2 linked regions of the Macaca fascicularis genome follow. Each later gene encodes a partner of the first gene's protein in a complex. Links are inferred from orthologs where the notes say so. Each region holds a gene or a part of one and is shown in the gene's direction. Other genes may lie near its edges.

Region 1 (10,708 bases):
AGTGACAGACTAGAGTAAGAACATGTGGCACATATACACCATGGAATACTATGCAGCCATAAAAAAAGGATGAGTTCGTGTCCTTTGTAGTGACATGGATGCAGCTTGAAACCATCATTCTTAGCAAACTATCGCAAGAACAGAAAACCAAACACTGCATGTTCTCACTCATAGGTGGGAATTGAACAATGAGATCACTTGGACACCGGAAGGGGAGCACCACACACTGGGTCCTATTGTGGGGAGGGGTAGGGGGGAGGGATAACATTAGGAGATATACCTAATGTAAATGACGAGTTAATGGGTGCAGCACACCAACAAGGCACATGTATACATATGTAACAAACCTGCACTTTGTGTACATGCACCCTAGAACTTAAAGTATAATAATTAAAAAAAAAGGATTATTGACCCACTTATGCCTAACGTTCTATTACTGAAATGCTAAGCATGTGGAGTTATTTATATTCTGCTTCTCAAGGTCATCACCAAGGTCTGATTGCAAAAATTCAAAAAATTGCAGTCTCAGGCATAAATGAGTTAAAAACTTTTAAGGAGCAAGCAGAATGAGGAAGATAAATTCCAGATTGTGTGCCTAAAATAACACCTATAAATTAGTGTTTATCCAAATTCTCAACACTTCCTGCTTTATCCTGTCAGCATATGACTTTGCTTTGTATCCCACTTAAAACACAGAATGAATGAAAGCTACACACCGCCAAATCTACCCTCCTTCCTTGAGTGGTGCCCATATACTGTGCTTTACCTCCTGCCGCTTCAGATCAATTGTCCAGGTTTCCATCCATGTCCAGCCTCTCTACTTTTGCACCAGATCTCACCCTTCTCAAGAGTACGGTTTCTACAATTGTCCTCAGATTTGAGAGCTCAACTATTTCGTGCCAGCAATTCAACAAATATGTACTAATTTCATAAACCTTGGAAAAACATTCTTGATTTCCTACTGATATATTCCTATGCCCCCTTTTAAAAGGAAAAGAAGGATTTCTTCTTCAAAGAGAAGCTGCCTGTGGTAGACTTACCTGTAGTAACTCTAACACCTTCAAACCCAAGCTCTCATTAAGTCATTCCTGTGAAGTTTTTGTTTCCACTTCTCCACAAAAGGACTCTTGTAAAGAATTAAAATGGCCTCTGTGTTGCTAAATTCAATGGTCGATTTCCAGCTGTCATTTTACAAGACTCCTGGTTTTTACTCTCACTTTCTTCACAACTACAGCTATTCCTTCTTTGCTGGTTCTTCTCCATCTTTCTTACATTTTTATACTGTGGAATCGCAGGGATGAGTCCTCAGTCATTTTTTCTACCTATCCTGCACACCTTGATCTCCTCATCCAGACCACAGTGTTTTACCTACCATCTATGTGCTGACAGAAGCTGAACTTCTATTCTAAACTCTAATTGTTCCCTTAGATCCACACTAATATATGCAGTTCTCCACGTATCACCTGTATATCTAATATGCGTTCAGATGCATCATGCCCGAAACCAAAATCTTGATCTCTACTTCCAAACCTGCTTTTCCCACAATTCCTCCATTTGCAGAGCAACACTTTTTTTCCAGTTATTGAAAACTACTTCCAAATTCAAACCATTTCCATATAGAAACTTTGTAACTTCTCCTCCTTCTTTCAATTCAATTATCATAAAGCTTATTCTCAATAGTCTAACCAGAATCATCATTTTCTGAGTTATGTCAATGCTTGTCACTCATCTGCTCAAAAATTTCCCATGGTTTCCCATGTCGCTCATAGTAAAACTCATAAAGGCTCATGCAGCGTACTAAGTGTATTCTTTGATCTCATTGTCTGCTAAGTACTCCTTAATTCATTCCATTTCAGACAAAACAGCCCTTGCTTTTCTTCAGACTCTCCTGGAACATCCCTACCTCTGGGCCTTTAAAATTATAATTCTTGTGTCTGGAATATTTCCCCACAAACATGGAAATGGCTCACTCCTTTGTCCCTTTCAAGTTCCATATACAAGGCAACATGAATTTTCCTTTCCCACGGCCCCTTGAGTAGTCTTTGCTGTCTCCTCCACTTTATTTCTTGATTGTAACTGTCATATTCTGGCATATTATCCTTAATTTATTTATGCCCTTAGTCACATTTTGTCTCCTGTCACTGGAATGTAAGTCCCATCAGGACTGTTTTGTTTCTTTGTTTGTTTTTGTCTGCTTTATTCACTGCTATACTTTAACAACAAAAAAGAGTGGATGCATAGGAAGGACTTGGTATTTTATTGAATGGATGACTCTTTACAGTTTTGAAGATAGCTTATATTCAGTGATATCTGAGGGATCATGACAATCATAAGACTTTTTTTTTTTACAAGGGAAACTTGTAAGTCTGTAACTTGGCGGAAGCTGTCAGTGGATGGATAGATAGATGCTCATCATCAGTGGATGTTTGATAGGTGGTAAGAATGCAGTTCTAGTACTCACAGAAGAAATTAGTAAATGAGCAGTGTGAGTTTACATAAGAGGAATCGTTGACACCCTAGGAGTGGAAATGGTTGCCAAGGCTGATCACTGAGAAAGAGGAAAGATGTGTGGGTATTGGAATGAAAAGCCAAACTTGGATCCAACTTGGTCTCCTGCTTTCTCTTCTAATCACCGGCTATTATTTCCTGTCTATCACTCCTTCAAAACGGGTATAAAAAGGTTAAACTGTCAATCTATATCAAATTATTGACAAATAATTGACAAAGTGGTAATAATTGAAAATTTTCATTTTTCTAAAGATGCCTGGATACTTAGATATTTAAGGGTTGTTTATTTTGGGTAAACCAAAATATAACCTCTATTTTAATAAAGAGGTGGTAGAATTACCTTTAAGAAAAAGCTATTTGCCATACTATTTTTACCCATTTGTAACACTCAACAATATTCTCCTCCTTACCAAGAGTGAATTGCTTATTTTTTTTGTTGTTGTTTTATTTTTTAACAACGCGCAAGAACATTTTACATTTTCCCAAAATTTCCAAACCTTTCACATCACGTGGATTTAATTTGGGATAATAGAGAAAGTATTCAAAATTTGTTTGGGAAATAACCTGGCTACACCAAGCATGATGGGGTGAATTGCGGATTTCCAGGATGAGCTAAAGCAAAGAGAACTTGCTTATTTACAAATAACATATGACTAGTGCCAATGAAGTGGATTATTATATAAATAAAGCTTCTAAGATCATTATGATGGAGTTACTAAAAACTTTTTTGGTGGAAACATCTAAGGGAATTAGAATAAATGAATAACCTCTTCTATTCTCTAGAACAAGTTGCTGTTTCACAAAGGAAACTATCAAATATTGAAGTTTTGAAGGGAGCTACTAAGAAAGCATAGCTATTTCTTCTATGTTATAGAGACCCCTGAATATATGTTATGGTTCATTGTACTCCTGTTGCCTGACCTGAGAAAATGCTCCTCAGATGAATTATTTTATTTAAATAGCTGCCTGGTACATGACAGATGTTACAATGTGTCATAATGTATTGAATATTTTGTAATATTTTCCACTGCCACATATAAGTTGTAAACAGTCAGTCATGTACATATCAATTATAATTCTATATTCTTTATTGCATATATGTAGTGAAACATATAATAAAATAGCAATGAGTTTATCAGAAATTTCATATTCTTTATTACCATCTAGTTATCCTCCTTGTGATAAGTTAATCGTATTGATTTCATTAGGAACATAAATGTATTAATTTTTCAATAACCTTGGAATTAAAACATGTTTATGTGATTATTGATGGTCTTTAATAAAAATACTAGCAACATCATCTTACTAAATGTATTCTGAGCATTGCTTTATGATTTTATAGCTATTTTGACATAATTATATTTTGAAATAACTTTTTTCTGTTTTCACATATATAGTTTGGTTGCCACTGGTAAATGGGTTACAAATTTCCTTTGGTATTTTAATGGGAAACCTATTTCTAAAAATCCAAAATGAATTAGTGAGCTCTAGTTTATTTATTTTTTTTTAGCAAATATGCCCCATACACCATTAAACAGCCAGCCACAATTAAAATTAATACATGAATTATTTTTTGAAAGTGAATCATTTGGATCCTCTGGTTACGAGAGTTCATATCCCCTTACTTCTAGAATTTTTTTATTCAGTTTCTTATGGCAAATATTAACTCATTCTACACAATAATCAAGAATACTTTTAAATTGCTCTAACTCATATTTATCCTCTAATGTGTGTATAAAGAGATAAAAATACTTTTAAAAGTACTTCCAAGTTTATATTTAATTATACATTATCAGGAGTAAAATTTTGGCAAAATATATTCATCAATGCTAAAACAACATTCATAGATGATAAGAATGATTAGTCCTCCCTACCTCTTATCCACCACCATGTATTGAAATAAATTTTCAATACTTATGATGTTTACATGTTGACCAAAAATGTCTACATTTGAAATTAGTTTCCATATGATAGGTATCACAGATTCTAGATAAGTGTATTGAAAATTTTTTTAAAATCTAGCTATTATAAATTTTTAAAGACATTAATTTTTTTGTTATCTGACTTGTTTCTCTTTCCCTTTCAGGAGTTGGAATTTTCTAATTTATTTGCTGTTCTTCACTGCATTCATTCCTTCTTTGCTGCCAAGGTAGCTTGTTTGGACCCTCTATTTTTAGGCAATCAAGCTACTGTTTCTGCTGCTGCCAGCTCTGCTACCACGAGCAAAGCAAAGTATACAACTTGACGTACTGAGCTCTGCATTGACACGCACCATGACTATATAAGCAGGACACATTTACTCATCATTTAGACCCTAGAGAAACCATAACATCACCAAGTCGGCAGTGGAGGCAAATCGAAATTTTGGCAGAAAAAAGAAGGTCATGTGGAACCTCAAAAACACTTCCATTCTGGATGACATCTGTGAAACATACTATATGAAAAGTTCAGTTGCTTTGTACCAGTAAGTATATTGCTTTCACCAAAAGTGGAGACAAAAATGAATTATTTGAAGAAATATGTAAGTAATATAAAAATAGTAAGCTACTTATAAATAAAATACTTATTAAAAGATTACTTCTGTATTTTAGATTATTTTGTATGACTAGTACATGTTGGGCAGAGTCATAAACAAAGCCCTATCATTATATTATGAGGGACATAAAAGAGTTAAAAACCATAAATCAGCAAGGAGCATGCAAAAAAATCACATCAAAGAAGGATGTACTTTAATTTGCTGATGTAAATTTGCCCTCGTGTTCTCATCCCATGATTTGACACTGGCAGTCCAATTGTTTTTATCTTATTGTAAATATTCCAAAGAACTTCGAAAGGATAATTACTTTGACCCATGATAGATACAATGTGGAATGGACTATTCTCCCTTCAATCACTGTTACTGAAATGTCTTATCAGCTGCCAACAATCAAGTATGCCAATAATGTATTAATTTAATTATGAGTGATGGAAAATTTCATGAACCTCTCATTTCTTCTTTGGTTTTAAATAGATTTATATTTTACCTAAGAAGATTTATTATCAAATTAAAGTTTCATAAATTTTCAGTGAACCAAAAAACTTTAGTAGAGAAAATAATATAAACAAATATGGTGTGAGAAGCAATTCTTTGTAATCTGAAGTCTACTAGCTAATCATGAACTAAAATGTCCCTCTAAAGCAGTCCCAAATCTATTATATATGCTAATTAAATGACATTTTTCCATTTCAGTACTATTTTATTAGAAACAAAGGTGATAGTTAAAGATAAAAGTTAAAAATTTTTATCTTCCCTTTTCATGGAAAGTGATTAAGTAATGTCAACTATGCAGGTTATTTTAGATATTTTGTCCTAAGAATGTAAATGTGGAAGGCTGGGAAATTTGAAAGCCTTAGAGGTGTGCAATTTACTGAGATTCCAGGTATTATACAACTAGTTGTATAATATGGAAAACATTCTCTGTCCTTTAGTACAGCTTTTTTGAGATATTTTTAAAAGTCAACTGTGTATGTAAGAAATAACAAAACAAAACTTTGTTTATTGGTACACATGCTCCCAGGTAAACCAAGTATTACATGTGTCCTTGTGGATATAACCAAGTATCTAATAAATTGATTCAATTTTCTTTTTTTCCAAATATGTTTTTAAAAATCACTCAAGAAGGAAACAAAATGATTTCTATAAAGGACAGATTTATTAATTTTAAAAATTAATATCTAGTTGTTTTTATACTCATTATGATTCATTAATTTATTTTGCATCAGATTAATTTGTAAACACCTAAAATTGAAAAGAAAAAGTGAGGGTTTAGAATTGTCCCTGAGAAAATGTTAAACTGAGTCTAACATACCTTGTCCAAAGAACTGTGACAAATTGCAATAAACAGTTTCAATGTAATGTATTTTGACCATAAAACTAAGTACACATTTGTAATTAGTATAGAACTTTAGAATGATTGCACACTATATTGATCAAACACAACAGTCATTGTAAAATTGGAGCCCACCAAAAGCAGGCTTCAGTAGTAGGCCACTTCTGAACTTACGAAGAAAAAGCAGTGGGATACATCCAACTTAGAATTTTCAGCTGTGGCAGGTGGTTCATTGTAGAACTTCTGCTTCCAACCACAGCTGAATCTCAGTGTTCCCCATATTGGGGTTACATGAATGTGTCCACAATCTGGTCTGAGGCAATATGACGTGGGCTAATTATCCATAAGCAAAAGAAAAAAGTTTCAATAGTTTACCTACCTGTAATAGAATGATTTAAAAATTGTGAAATTTTGTAAACATTCAATTTCAAAATTTAAAAAATCTATTATTAGCTATATTTTTTTGATATTATGAAAATTTAGTCTATGCTCATGTATGTTATGAAGGAAAAGGTGCACAATTAGATATGTATAAATATATATCTCCTCGGAGAATACACACACACGTACATATGCATATATATATGCATATATGTGTGTATATATATAAATATAGTCAAATGCTGACCATTAATTATATTAAAAGAATATGTTTTGTGTACATACATTTAATATACATTAAATTAAGTTGTAAAATGCAGTTTGATTAAAAACTTATGACAATACCATTGTGATTATTTTTGATACTATTGATAAAAAAACATAAACCGTGATTTTTATTTAACATGATTAGTACAACAGTCAAAAAGTAACAAAATACTATTCTCATTTTCATCAGTTTAACAATTAGTGTTTAATGTTTTCTTTACAATGTGATGATTAGTCGTTGGCATTTGTTATATCTTGGACTACTTGAATGAGAAAGCTTAGAAATGAACAAAAACACATATAAATTTATCTCTCTCATATAATTTGGGTTTACATGTATGAGATTTATTCACAAAATCCTAGTTTGTACATTGAGCACATTTTAACAGCAAAACGCTAATGTGTTAACCCCTCCAGTGCCTTGGTGTATGTGAGCATGTATGTGTGATTGGGTGTGTGTCTATGTGTGTATGTGTGAGTGTGTGTGTGTGTGTGTGTGTGTTATCATTAAATGGTTCATTATGGTGTACATAACACAAGCTTAATGGGGAATATTGTTATTTAGGTCAGAGAATGAAGTTCAAAGTCATCTGAAAACTGCTAACTACTATAACAATGTCTTTTGCCTGATAAAGAATAACAATTCATCTAAGCTGAAGCATATTACAGAAAGGGCATTTATAATTTGTTATATTGCAACAAGTATTTATTTAAAAAATAATTTAATAGTTAGTGTATGTGTAATGTATACCCCAACACACTTATCCAGCTTTTTTAAAATGGGAGGATAATCAGGTAATTATTTCTTGCCCATATTTCAGACGTGTACCAACTTATAATTTTGAAATCTTCTCTCATAAAGCTGTCCTTCAGCAAGAAAAAGAAAGCAATTACTTGAAAATAAATGTCGAGTCCGTATTAGCCATGCAAGGAGAGAAATGTTCCTTTGGGTTCATTAGTTTATAGATCAACATTTCCCTCATTTACAGTGCTGAAGCTTGATCATGAACTTTGTCTATGTTGAATGCTGGATTTAAGAAAAGCTTGATTTATTACTGAGAAAAATTAATTATCCTAACAATAATTTAGAATTACTGCTAGAAATCAGCAGTGTGGAGAAGCTTTAAAAGTACAAGGATGATCTTGTGCTTAACTTTTTAAGGTAAGTGTAGACGTTTGGATATTAATAAGACACATTTTGCTACTATTAATACTGCTGTGCTTATAATTTCTCCTTAAGAAATTGCTTTATTCATACCTCTAAATTTGTTCTTTATTGTTTATTCTTCTACTGAATACTTTAAAATCATAATGCCACTTATTTGCACATTTGAATTTGCTTTTGCAAATAAAATATTATAAATGTTATATATTTTATATACATTAAAATGTAATGAAAATACCAGAAATATAAAATGTAAATATATTTATTTCATTTTTAATTGTTTTGGTGGATGTTTGTAAAATGTAAATTAATATCTGTGACAAAAATTTGTCACTTCGTTCTTTCAGTTAATTAATGTACTACTAATAAAACCATACTTTTTTAAATGAAGCATACTGAAAAATAAAAACAAATACTTTTTACAGATTTGGGTTTTCATTTCTTTGGGTTGAATTGTAAGTTTTACGTATGTTTAAAACATGATCCTGAGAGATTTAACTTCAATTAAAAGGTTTAAGATATGAACTGTGTATATGTAAGTGCAGACTATGTGGTACATAATCTGTTCTAGTTGACAAATATTTATGAAGAAAAGACATCTAACTCCTAAATGCTCCTAAAGTTTGAAGAAAGATGGTATTTGTCAAATTACTTACCCAACTGAGTTACAACTTCTGAAAAATATGACATTTGATATCACTGTAATTTGTTTATCAATTCTAGTGCCTTTTCTGTAGATTAAGATTTTCTATGTTGACATCCATGCCATCTACAAGAGAGTCTGTTTTATTTATTCCTTTTTATTAAATACGTTTTAATTTTGGCTTCCTACCATATTACACAGGTTGAAACCTCCAATTTAACACTAAATTGTTGTTTAACACTAATTGTTGAAAGTAGACATCCTTGCCTTGTAATGATTTTAGGGGAAAAGCATTCAATCTATCACCATTAAACACTTTGTTGGCATGGGTTTTCAGTAAATGTCTTTATCAGACTAAGCAAGTTTCTATTTCTTCCTAGTTTGCCAAGAACTTAAAAGTTCATAATAAATTATGAATAAATACTAAATACTGTCATAGGCTTTTCCAGCATCATTGAAAGGGTTACATGATTTTCATACTGAGTAACACTGATTCATTTTCAAATGTTGAACTATCATTGCATTGCTGGTATCAATTCAGTTGGTCATAACATATTATCCTCTTTATAAATTGTTGGATTTAATATGAATTATTCTCTCTCTCTCTTTTTGTGATAAGTCCTGTAACCATCCTGGCCCTGAGTCTACTGGAGCCCACCAATCTTCTTTGGCAGCTCCAACCAGCTTTAGAGTTTTCTAGGTATGAGTCAGATACTACTATTCCTTAAGTCTTACACACTCTAGGGACTACAGATCAAGCATTTTTGTTGATTTTCTGCAGATATTTCCCACCCCTGTTTATAGGTGCAAGAAGCACCCAATTGCCATGATAGGCAGGGAAACAGAAATGTCATAAAAGTCTTACAACTCAAAAGTTTCCACTAGATTAGGAATTTAACACAGGCAAGTATGGAGAGAAGGAAGGAAACATACACCTGAAATATCAACTCCATTTAAGAAAAATCCCACAATAATATACGTATATTTAACCTGGTGAGGCTGGTCTCTAACTTTTGAGCTCACGCAATTCAACCGCCTCAGCCTTTCAAAGTGCTGGGATTACAGGAGTGAGCCACTGCACCCAGCCCACAATATACATATATTTTGCATTGAAGGAAATGTATGAGTCCACTTTTGTGTGGATAGAGTTATTAAATCATTCGGATAAATATCAATGAATTCAATCATCAGATCATTGGGTAGGAATATATTTAGTTTTGTGAGAAACTGCCAAATTGCCTACCAAAGTGACTGTGCCATTTTGTATTCTCACAAGCAATAAATGAAAGTTTCTATTGTTCTTTGCCCTTGCCATAAATTTGTTGTCAGAGTTCTTAATTTTAGCCACTCTAATAGGTGTAGAGTGACTTCTCGTTGTTTTAATTTACAATTCCCTAACTCTCTTGTTTTTAAGAATTTCTGATATCTACTTATGCTAAAGAGAAGGCAAAGATGGAAAAATGTAATGGGATGAGACTTTGCAAATAATTGTAGGAGGACAATAGAGATAGCTGGCAACTCTTCATAATGACATTGGACAGAAATTTACAGTACAGCAAACACCCAAAGATATGTAAGGACACAAAAGAATGTAACTGTGCCTGGGATTGTTGTGATAAAGGCCAAAACTGAAAGAGAACATTAGGTATAACTGTGAAAATAATTTATGCTATGATAAGGAATTTCAGGTTTAGTTTATTGACAATTGGAAGATTTTAGAATATTTTAACCCAGAAAATTACATCAGTAGCTTTTTAAAAAATTATATTTATTGGCAATATGGAGAATAAAAGTAGAAGCAAGAAAGGAGAGATTGCAAGTTTGAGAATAGCCAGAAATAAGTAAATTCTTTCTGGTTGATCAAATTCTCAGGAT
Region 2 (10,708 bases), on another chromosome or scaffold:
TTTTTCTTTGTAGAGACAAGGTCTCACTATGTCGCTCAGGCTGGTCCTGAACTCCTGGCCTGAAGCGCTTCTCCTACCTCGGCCTCCCAAAGTGTTGGAATTACAGGCGTGAACCACTCCGCCAGGCCCGTGTGGGTAATTTAAAAAATATAGGGCCTCCGGGGCAGCACCCTAGAATCTTCTGCGGCCCTGTGGATGCGTGTTTTTTTTTTAAGTCCCCACCAGCTGCAATCAGCTTACCACTTGCTGTGACTGGCATCTGGTGCTGTCTCTACAGGCTGAATTCTACGGTAGCCAAATGGATCTCCGTCACTGGGATGACTGCTTAGGGGGTTTAAGGGAGGTTTGGGGGATTTGCATATCTTTGCCCTGATGCTGAGAAGTAAGTAAGGCCCGTGTTTCCTGTGTCTCCTGAACAGTTTTATCCAAGCTGTGCTTGTGATACTGTCTGTCTTCTTGTACTTGTTTGCCTACAAAGAGTACCTCGCCTGCCTCGTGCTGGCCATGGCCCTGGGCTGGGCTAACATGCTCTACTACACGAGGGGGTTCCAGTCCATGGGCATGTACAGCGTCATGATCCAGAAGGTGCGTTGGGAGCTGTGCCGGCGGGAGGGCCCTTTTTCAGATGGGGAAACTGAGATCTGGAGAGGAAGAGGGGCAGGTCACTTGCTCTTTCTCCCGAATGCCATGCGCTCCCTTTGCTTTCCGTCAGGCTTTACGTGTCCAGACCTTAAATCCCCCAGGCTTGTGGGGCGCTGGGGAGGGGTACACTTCGTGGAGGAATGTTCTCACTCCTGGGCAGTGGTGTGCTGGTAAACATTTAACAACCGCTCTGTGTGTGTGTGTGTGTGTTGTGTGTGTGTGTGTGTGGGGGTGGAATATGTATATATATACGTGTATGTACGTATACACATACACTTATCATACAGTTTACTATGTAAAGGATATGTATCACGCAATTTGAAAATAATGAAAATATACAATACAGTTTATTGTAAATTCCACGTAGCCAGTTGAGTCTTAGAATAATTTGTTGCTTTTTTTTTTTTTTTTTTTTTTTTTTGAGACTGAGTCTCGCTCTGCTGCCCAGGCTGGAGTGCAGTGGTGCGATCTTGGCTCACTGCAACCTCTTCCTCCTGGGTTCAAGCAATTCTCCTGCCTCAGCCTCCAGAGTAGCTGGGATCACAGGCATGCACCACCATGCCTGGATAATTTTTGTATTTTTATTTTTATTTTTATTTTATTTATTTATTTATTTTTTTGAGACGGAGTCTCGCTCTGTCGCCCGGGCTGGAGTGCAGTAGCCGGATCTCAGCTCACTGCAAGCTCCGCCTCCCGGGTTTACGCCATTCTCCTGCCTCAGCCTCCCGAGTAGCTGGGACTACAGGCGCCCGCCACCTCGCCCGGCTAGCTTTTTGTATTTTTTAGTAGAGACGGGGTTTCAACGTGTTAGCCAGGATGGTCTCGATCTCCTGACCTTGTGATCCGCCCGTCTCGGCCTCCCAAAGTGCTGGGATTACAGGCTTGAGCCACCGCGCCCAGCTTTTTTTGTATTTTTAGTGGAGATGGGATTTCACCATGTTGGCCAGGATTGTCTCAAACTCCTGAACAGGTGATCCACCCGCCTCGGCCTCCCAAAGTGTTAGGATTACAGGCGTGAACCACTGCGTCCGGCCTATTTGTTGCTTTTTATTGAATTCTAGTTTTTGTTGTCAACTTTTGGTTGCAATTGACAGAAGAGTGCTGTTCAGATATGAATGTTGGTTGAGATTTTTCTTTATAAGCAGTGATTAAAGTAAAACAATTAAGATTTATGTTGAACTTTACTTGTTTATCAATGATGTGAGCAACTTCTTTGCTGAATTGGATACTAGTTTGCAAATATCAGAAGAATATTCTGTTGGTATTTTTGTGCTATACACAATGTAAAGGCTGTGGACAGAACACATTTTAAATTTGATCTGGATTAATAGTTTCTCCATTACTGTCTTAAATCATTTAGATCTAGATATCAACAAAACAATGAGTCAATCAATCTCTGATTTGTGGCATTTACTAATTTTCATGATGTAAATACAGTAGCCCCGCCTTATTCTTGGGGAAAATGTTCGAAGACCCCCCATGAATGCCTGAAACTGCAGATAGTACCAAACCCTATATAATATGCTGTTTTTTCCTATACATATACATCTATGCAAATAATGAAAATATACTATACAATACAGTTTATTGTAAATTTCACTTAGCCAGTTGAGTCTTAGAATACTTTTTTGCTTTTTTTTTTTTTTTTGTGACTGAGTCTCGCTCTGTCACCCAGGCTGGAGTGCAATAGTGCGATCTTGGCTCACTGCAACCTCTGCCTCCCGGGCTCAAGCAATTCTCCCGCCCCAGCGGGACTACAGGTGTGCTGGGACTACAGGTGTGCGCCACCAGGCCCAGCTAATTTTTGTATTTTTAGTAGAGACGGGGTTTCACCATGTTGGCCAGGCTGGTCTCCAACTCTTGACCTCAGGTGATCCGCCTGCCTCGGCCTCCCAAAGTGCTGGGGGCGGGTGGGGGGAAGCAACAAATGATTTTAAGACTCAACTGGCTATGTGGAATTTATAAAATGTATTTTATAAATTAGGCACAGAGATATTAATGGCAATAACTAACAGAACAACGATAACAATACACTGTAATAAAAGTAGGTGAGTGTTGTCTCTCTCTTTCAGAATATTGTATTGTGTGTAAGATTTCTGGGTCTTAGTTGACCACAGGCAACCAAAACTGCAGAAAGTGAAATCGAAGAGAAGGGCAGACTACTGTTCTCCTCCCAGGGCCAGTTTCCAGCTACCAACATTATGTTACTGGACGTGGAGTTAGGGAGAAACATGCAGATCCACGCCACTCTAGAATTCCCGCCATATGGCTATCATAGAGATAAGTAACCTCAAAAGCACACACAATTGTAAATATAGTGAAATAACTAGACAGGGATGAGTTTTGAACATTTATTGTCTTTGTTTTATTTAATTAAATTAATTAATTAATTTTTTGAGATGGAGTCTTGCTCTGCCTCCCAGGCTGGAGTGCAGTGGCACGATCTAGGCTCCTTGCAACCTCTTCCTCCTGGGTTCAAGCAATTCTCCTTCCTCAGCCTCTGGAGTAGCTGGGATCAAAGGTGAGTGCCACCTTTGTATTTTTTTTTTTTTTTTGTATTTTTGTATTTTTAGTAGAGACGGGGTTTTGCCATGTTGGCCAGGCTGGCCTCCAACTCCTGACCTCAGGCGATCCACCCACCTCGGCCTCTCCAAGTGTTGGGATTATAGGCTTGAGTCATTGCGCCCGGCTTGTCTCTGTTTTAAATATAACTTACTTTATTTAATTGTAAGTTTTATATGGTTTAATTTTTTGGCAATACAAATAATAATTTATCCTCAACTTTTTTTTCTTTTTTCTTTTTTTTTTTTTTTGAGATGGAGTCTTGCTCTGTCGCCCAGGCTGGAGTGCAGTGGCACAATCTCAGCTCACAGCAAGCTCCGCCTCCCGGGTTCACCCCATTCTCCTGCCTCAGCCTCCTGAGTAGCTGGGACTACAGGTGCCACCACCACACCCGGCTAATTTTTTGTATTTTTAGTAGAGACAGAATTTCACTGTGTTAGCCAGGATGGTCTTGATCTCCTGACCTCATGATCCGCCCGCCTTGGCCTCCCAAAGTACTAGGATTACAGACATGAGCCTCTGCGCCCGGCCTTATCCCCAACTTTATTGAGGTATAGTTGACATATATAATTGTATAAATTTAAGATATACAATGTGAGGATTTGATATAGGTATATATTATGAAATGATTCCCAATTTCAAATTAGTTAACATACCCATCGCCTCACATAGTTGCCATTTCTTTGTGGGGTGAGAACATTTGTGATCTATTCTCTTAGCAAATTTCTAATCCACAACACAGTATTAACTACAGCCATCATGCTGTCCATTAGATCCCAGAACTTATTCATCGTATAACTGAAAGTTTGATTTAGTTCTGAATAATGGCTGTGTTTAACAACCAGCTCACAAGCTTCATGAGAAGTTAACAGCTATTGCGAGCTGTTGTGAGCTGGCTCCAGCATGCCACTGCCCCCAGGAATGTGAGGCTTCCAGATGTGAGACCCTATGGTGAAAGGCACAGGGTGAATCACAGGGAGAAGAGAACCTGGGGCTAGAGCAGAAACAGAAGGCTTCCTGGAGGAGGTGGGATTCAGAGCTGAGTGTTGGAGCATCAGGAGGATTTGGCTGGGGGAAGGGAGAGTGGCCTAAGTGAGTGAGGAGATGGTTAGGGGGGAGGTGGGAGAGGGTGGGAAGCAGGAAGATCAGGGGACCGTGAATATGTGCTTATATCTTACTCTTGAATTATGTTTATTTCTTTGTAGGTCATTTTGCATGATGTTTTGAAGTTCTTGTTCGTATATATCGTTTTTTTGCTTGGATTTGGAGTAGGTAATTGATTTATAAATGATAGTAACTCCCACATTTATAAACACTTTATTCAGATGTCAAAATGACAAAGCACATGGTGGCCTCAGCAGCAATTAGACCAGCTACCAGTGGGGCACCTGCCAAGCTTGGCATTTTCCAAGCATTACCTTTTTACTTCTCTCAACAACTTGATCAAGTGGGAGTCGTCGCCCCGATCATAAGATAGCTGAGGCTTAGAGACTCCGGAATTTGAACCAGGCCAGCCACTCATAATCCAGCTTCACTGTGTGGTGTACACCTCTGGCTTTCCCATTCATTGCTTATGTGGCCCTCATGACCTAAGACAGGTCCTGCAAGTGTTTTCAGCCTCATTTTACAGATGGGGAAACTAAAGTCCACAGAAACTCGACTCTTGGTCTTTGCAAAGTAGGAGCAAAGTAATGCCCTGAGGCAACTTCCTTTGGGTTTCACATCATGTTGCTCTCACAGTTTGCTTTAGATATAACTGTGAGAGCCTCTCTGGTCTGCTGGGACCAGGAAGGAGCCCCCCCTCTTAAAATCTCTCCATGTACGACAGAGGGAACAGCACCATCTGGTTGTATTTCTAAGCTCTGCATAGAGAGATCGTTTCCCCCCACATACCAGTTGCTTTTTTTTCTTTTCTTCAGTGACCATTGACATTTGAAATTAGGTAGCTGTGTCCATCTGTCTGGTACCTTTTCTGGGTCACAATTTGCTTATTTATTTGCTCCTTCACCTGCTTGTTTATTAATCCATCTATTTACTCTCTCATTTAATTTGCTCATCCACCTATCTATCCATCTATCCATCCATCTATCCATCCATCCATCCATCCATCCATCCATCCATCCATCCATCCATCCATCTATCCATCCATCCAATCATCCATCCATCCATTCATCCATCCATCTAATCATCCATCCATCAATCCATCCATCCATCTAATCATCCATCTATCCATCCCTCCATCCATCCAATCATCTATCCATCCATCCATCCAATCATCCATCCATCCATCCATTCATTCATCCATGCAATCATCCATCTAATCATCCATCCATCCATCCGTATCCATCCATCCATCCATCTATCCAATCATCCATCCATCCGTCCCTCCCTCCCTCCATCTATCCAATCATCTATCTATCCATCCATCTAATCACTCATCCATCCATCCATCCATTCATTCATCCATGCAATCATCCATCTAATCATCCATCCATCCATCCATCCATCCATATCCATCCATCCATCCATCCATCCATCCATCCATCCATCCAGCAGTGAACCTCTATTGTGGTGTGTTGGAAAGAAGGGAAGTGTGAGCCTGGTCTTGCTCATGGGGAACTCACAACAGAGCATTAGGAGGAGACTCAGGATCTTACAGCCTTGAGGGAAATGACTCAGGCTAGAGGAAGTCAGGAGCTCAAAGACTAGCTGGGGAGCCAGGGACACACACGTGGATTATAATTAGCAACTCTGCAAGGCTGGAAGTGATCAAGGGCCGACTGTGGGGTAGAGGAAGGAGAGAAGACTCTGGGCTTTGTTAGGTGGAAGGGCTTTCTGCAGGAGGCCAGGGCAGAGAAGCCAGCCTGATGAGGCTTTGGGAGGACCTGAAGCTGGAGATGGGATTTAATGGCCAGAGAGAAGGAGGCAGCAGGCTTGTCGTGTGGGCAAATACACGCAAGCTTGTAGAGTAATTCACCAGGCGGAGAGCTGAGGAGAGCACCCTGTTATGTTCCCCTAGCCCTGGCCTCACTGATCGAGAAGTGTCCCAAAGACAACAAGGACTGCAGCTCCTACGGCAGCTTCAGCGACGCGGTGCTGGAACTCTTCAAGCTCACCATCGGCCTGGGTGACCTGAACATCCAGCAGAACTCCAAGTATCCCATTCTCTTTCTGTTCCTGCTCATCACCTACGTCATCCTCACCTTCGTTCTGCTCCTCAACATGCTCATTGCCCTGATGGGCGAGACTGTGGAGAACGTCTCCAAGGAGAGCGAGCGTATCTGGCGCCTGCAGGTGAGTCTAGGTGGAGACCCCAGTGTGGGGGCCTCCATGGGATTCAGTTCAGCACATGGTCATTGACTACTGTCAGCACCAGTGGGTCTGTGGTGGGGCCTGAGAATCTGCACAAGCTGCTCAGTGTGTGGCCAGGATTGAGGAAGCCTTAGCCTAGGTTCTTTGAGTGTAGGGTCTACGAAGTGTGGCTGTGCAACGGCATGTGTAGAAAAACTCAGGCTTACAGGGGTGCTGTGCTCAGGGTTGACAGTGTGATTGATGGATGTTGAAGTATGACCTTAGGTTGTATTAAGAGGAGTACAGCGCCTAGGACAATGGAGGTGACAGTTCTGCTCTATTCTATCCTGGCCTGAACACTTCTTACGTGCTGAGGAAACCAATGCATAGGATGGGTCCCGAGGTGGTAACCAGGTTTGGGAGAGGACTGGAGACTGCCTCTTAAGAAATAGTTGTTGGCGGCCAGGCATGGTGGCTCACCCCTGTAATCTTAGTACTTTGGAAGGCTGAGGCAGGTGGATCACCTGAGGTCAAGAATTTGAGACCAGCTTGGCCAACCTGGTGAAACCTCATCTCTACTAAAAATACAAAAACTTGCCGGGTGTGGTAGTGGGCGCCTGTAATCCCAGCTACTCAGGAGGCTGAGGCAGGAGAATCGCTTGAACCCAGGAGGTGGAGGTTGCAGTGAGTCGAGATCATGCCATTGCACTCCAGCCTGGGTGACAGAGCGAAAACTCTGTCTCAAAAACAGAAAAAGAAATGCTTATTGATAAAGGTGAGAGTGCCTTCAGATATCTACAGAGCAACCTGTGAAACAGGGAGCAGACCCCTTCTGTGGTCCCAGAAGGCAGAGGTACATGGGGGTGCTACAGGGAGAAAAACTTTGATGCGACACATGGAAGTTTCTCATTATTAAGGCCCTCCTTTTTTTTTTTTTTTTTTTTTTTGAGACAGGGTCTTGCTCTGTCGCCCAGGCTGGAGTGCAGTGGCGTGATATCAGCTCACTGCAACCTCTGCCTCCCGGGCTCAAGCGATTCTCCCACCTTAGCCTCCCAAATAGCTGGGATTACAGGCACGCGCCACCACACCTGGGTCATTTTTGTATTTTTTTTGTAAAGATGGGGTTTCACCATGTTGCTCAGGGTGGCCTCATACTCCTGAGCTCAAAGCGATTCACCTGCCTCAGCCTCCCAAAGTGCTGGGATTACAGGTGTGAGCCACTGTACCTGGCCAAGGCCCTCTTAATTGGTTTGTTGATACTACTCAAGAGAGACTGGAAAAATTATGGCCAGGAAACAGCAGAGAGGTTCCAAGCCTGGGAGGGGGTGGGACTGAATGATGTTCGAATGGTCCTTTGCCATGGGATTCCAGGACCTCAGCCCTGTCAGATAGGAAGCTCCTGGGCTTTCAGAAATACTATTTATATCGTGGAGTGTCGCTCTGTCGCCCAGGCTGGAGTGCAGTGGAGGGATCTCAGCTCACTGCAACCTTCAACCCCTGGGTTCAAGTGATTCTCCTGCCTCAGCCTCCTGAGAGCTGGGATTACAGACGTCTAACGCAGGCCCAGCTAATTTTTGTGTTTTTAGTACAGACAGGGTTTCACCATGTTGGCCAGGCTGGCCTTGAACTCCTAACCTCAGGTGATCCACCTGCCTTGGCCTCCCAAAGTGTTAGGATTACAGGTGTGAGCCACCGCGCCTGGCCTGCTTTTTGTCTTTGAATTCTGTAGATCAGCCAAACCCTTCCGATCCGTTAAGCATGGGGCGAGGGGGGAGTGGGCTCACTGACAGTGTGTGTGCACTTGTGTGTGCTTGTGAGTGTGAATGCCTACTCCTTAGACTTGCTTATGTCCCCAGAGAGCCAGGACCATCTTGGAGTTTGAGAAAATGTTACCAGAATGGCTGAGGAGCAGATTCCGGATGGGAGAGCTGTGCCGAGTGGCCGAGGAAGATTTCCGACTGTGTTTGCGGTAACCAAGGGGGAAGGGCCCTGGGGCTGTGGTCTTTGGGGTGGGCAGAGAGGGGCAGGTCAGTGACAAGATGTTAGAGAAACGGTGCCGCTGCTTGCTCACCATAACCACAGCTGCTGTCTCTCCCAGTGGCCTCCTCGGAAGAAGGAATTTGCTTATGGGGTTATAGGGCCCTGGGATGGGGGTTCCCGAGCTTCAGAAGAGAAAGAGAAGGAGACTGCCAACAGTGGCTCCCCTCCCTGCTTTTTTTTTTTCTTTTTTTTCTGTTTTTGAGACAGAGTTTTGCTCTTGTTGCCCGGGCTGGAGTACAATGGCACGATCTTGGCTCACTGCAACCTCTGCTTCCTGTGTTCAAGCAATTCTCCTGCTTCAGCCTCTGAGTAGCTGGGATTACCGGCATGTGCCACCACACCCAGCTAATTTTGTATTTTTAGTAGAGGCAGAGTTTCACCACATTGGTCAGGCTGGTCTCGAACTCCTGACCTCAGGTCATCCACCCACCTCGGCCTCCCAAAGTGCTGGGATTACAGGCGTGAGCTACCACGCCCAGCCCCTCTCTCTGCCTTTTTGAAGGTGCCTCCGAGGTCTCTCTCTGTTTGCTATCTGGTTTAGGGAAGATCTGCCTGCTTGGCACTCCTTTTCCTGCTGTTTACCTGTGTGAGTTCCTGTGACCCCAGGTGACTTGAGTCCCATTTTGCCCCTGGCAGATGGAAAGTGACATGGCTACTTTGACAGATCTCTGGCTTTTTGATTTTTTTTTTTTTTAAAGTCCTTACTTATCCCATGACCACCTTTTCTCCTTCCTTCCTTCCTTCCTTCCTTCCTTCCTTCCTTCCTTCCTTCCTTCCTTCCTTCCTTCCTTCCTTTCCTCCTTCCCTCCCTCCCTCCCTCCCTCCTCTCTCTCTCTCTCTCTCTCTCTCTCTCTCTCTCTCTCTCTCTCTCTCTTTCTTTCTTTCTAAATGAAGTTCCAGGCTGGAGTGCAGTGGTGCGATCTCTGCTCACCGTAACCTTGGCCTCCCCAGTTCAAGCGATTCTTACGCCTCAGCCTCCCCAGTAGCTGGGACTACAGGCACACGCCACCACGCTTGGATAATTTTTGTATTTTTAGTAGAGACGGAGTTTCATCGTGTTAGCCAGGCTGGTCTTGAACTCCTGGCCTCAAGTGATCCACCCCCCCTTGGCCTCCCAATGTGCTGGGATTACAGGCGTGAGCCACCGCGCCCGGTTCCATGACCACCTTTTCTGATAAGCCCACCTCCTCCTACCCTGACCCAGCTGCCTGAGCCCACGGACCACCTTCTTTAAGTATGACCTTAACTCACTTCTCTGACTGAAACCCCACCCCCTGGAAAGCTTCATTTCTGACTGCAATGATTACCCTAACGAACATTTCTGATGTTGCCACCCTCACTCTAGAGACCTCTGGATGTGAATTTAAGTCACATCAATGCCTATGGTTGTATTCTAACACCTCAGACGCCACCCACTCTTGTTAGGGCATAGACCCTAACCATAGGCTCTTCGTGCCTCCTCAACCCCAGCTACACTTGGAGTTTAATCTTCACACCCTCGCGGCCTGGGCCCTCCCTGTCTGTCCCCGCTTCCCCTTGGGCTGTCACCAGTCAGGCACAGCTGCTGTTGTCTGAAGTTGGATCCTTTATACCTGTCTGAGCAACTTACAGGATTTCTGAGTTCCCTACAGTGGAAGGAGAACTGATTCTCTGAGGCCTGGGGACATGGAGATGGGGATAGAGTTCAAACTCCAACAACGCTAGTGTGACCACTGGGGTCAGGGGTGCTCCTGATCTCCAGGACAGACAGAAGGGGAGCTGTGTAGACACCAGGACGTCCCAAACCAGGGTTATTTGTTTGCACTCAGTGAGGCACTGGTGAAATAGTAAGAATGATGATCCCACTTGCAGGATCAATGAGGTGAAGTGGACTGAATGGAAGACGCACGTCTCCTTCCTTAACGAAGACCCGGGGCCTGTAAGACGAACAGGTAACTGTTGCTGTGAGGTGACATGGTGTCCACTCCTGTCTCAGACCACGTAACCTTGGGCAGATCAAATCTAAGGGTCCTGACTTTCCTCATCTGTCAAATGGGAGGGTTGAATGGAAATGCTGCTTAGGTCTCTTCCAGCTCTGACTTTTAGAACTCTAGTTGGCATGACTTTTAAAACGGTGTAGCCCTAAGCCATAGAAACACACCATGCAGACCGGGCACGGTGGCTCGCACCTGTA

Evidence for each region.
Region 2: the proteins of SNTG1 (region 1) and TRPV3 are in contact, whole or in part, in a crystal structure (PDB 7QQN), measured with the Homo sapiens proteins. The link is inferred for Macaca fascicularis from reciprocal best matches to the Homo sapiens genes SNTG1 and TRPV3. Residues at the interface, in NP_001274742.1 of Homo sapiens: Arg62, Gly66, Gly67, Phe68, Gly69, Leu70, Ser71, Ile72, Lys73, Gly74, His78, Ser85, Lys86, His118, Glu119, Val122, Arg126; in NP_659505.1 of Homo sapiens: Pro786, Glu787, Thr788, Ser789, Val790.

What each region holds. Positions count from the first base shown.
Region 1 is NC_088382.1:60,658,103-60,668,810, forward strand, and holds the end of SNTG1 (gamma-1-syntrophin), read left to right. Parts: intron 1-4,594; coding exon 4,595-4,753; 3' UTR 4,754-6,305; downstream 6,306-10,708. UniProt on the Homo sapiens protein: Adapter protein that binds to and probably organizes the subcellular localization of a variety of proteins. May link various receptors to the actin cytoskeleton and the dystrophin glycoprotein complex.
Region 2 is NC_088390.1:3,553,939-3,564,646, reverse strand, and holds part of TRPV3 (spermatogenesis-associated protein 22), read left to right. Parts: intron 1-419; coding exon 420-585; intron 586-4,409; coding exon 4,410-4,476; intron 4,477-6,223; coding exon 6,224-6,498; intron 6,499-8,351; coding exon 8,352-8,464; intron 8,465-10,386; coding exon 10,387-10,466; intron 10,467-10,708. UniProt on the Homo sapiens protein: Non-selective calcium permeant cation channel. It is activated by innocuous (warm) temperatures and shows an increased response at noxious temperatures greater than 39 degrees Celsius. Activation exhibits an outward rectification.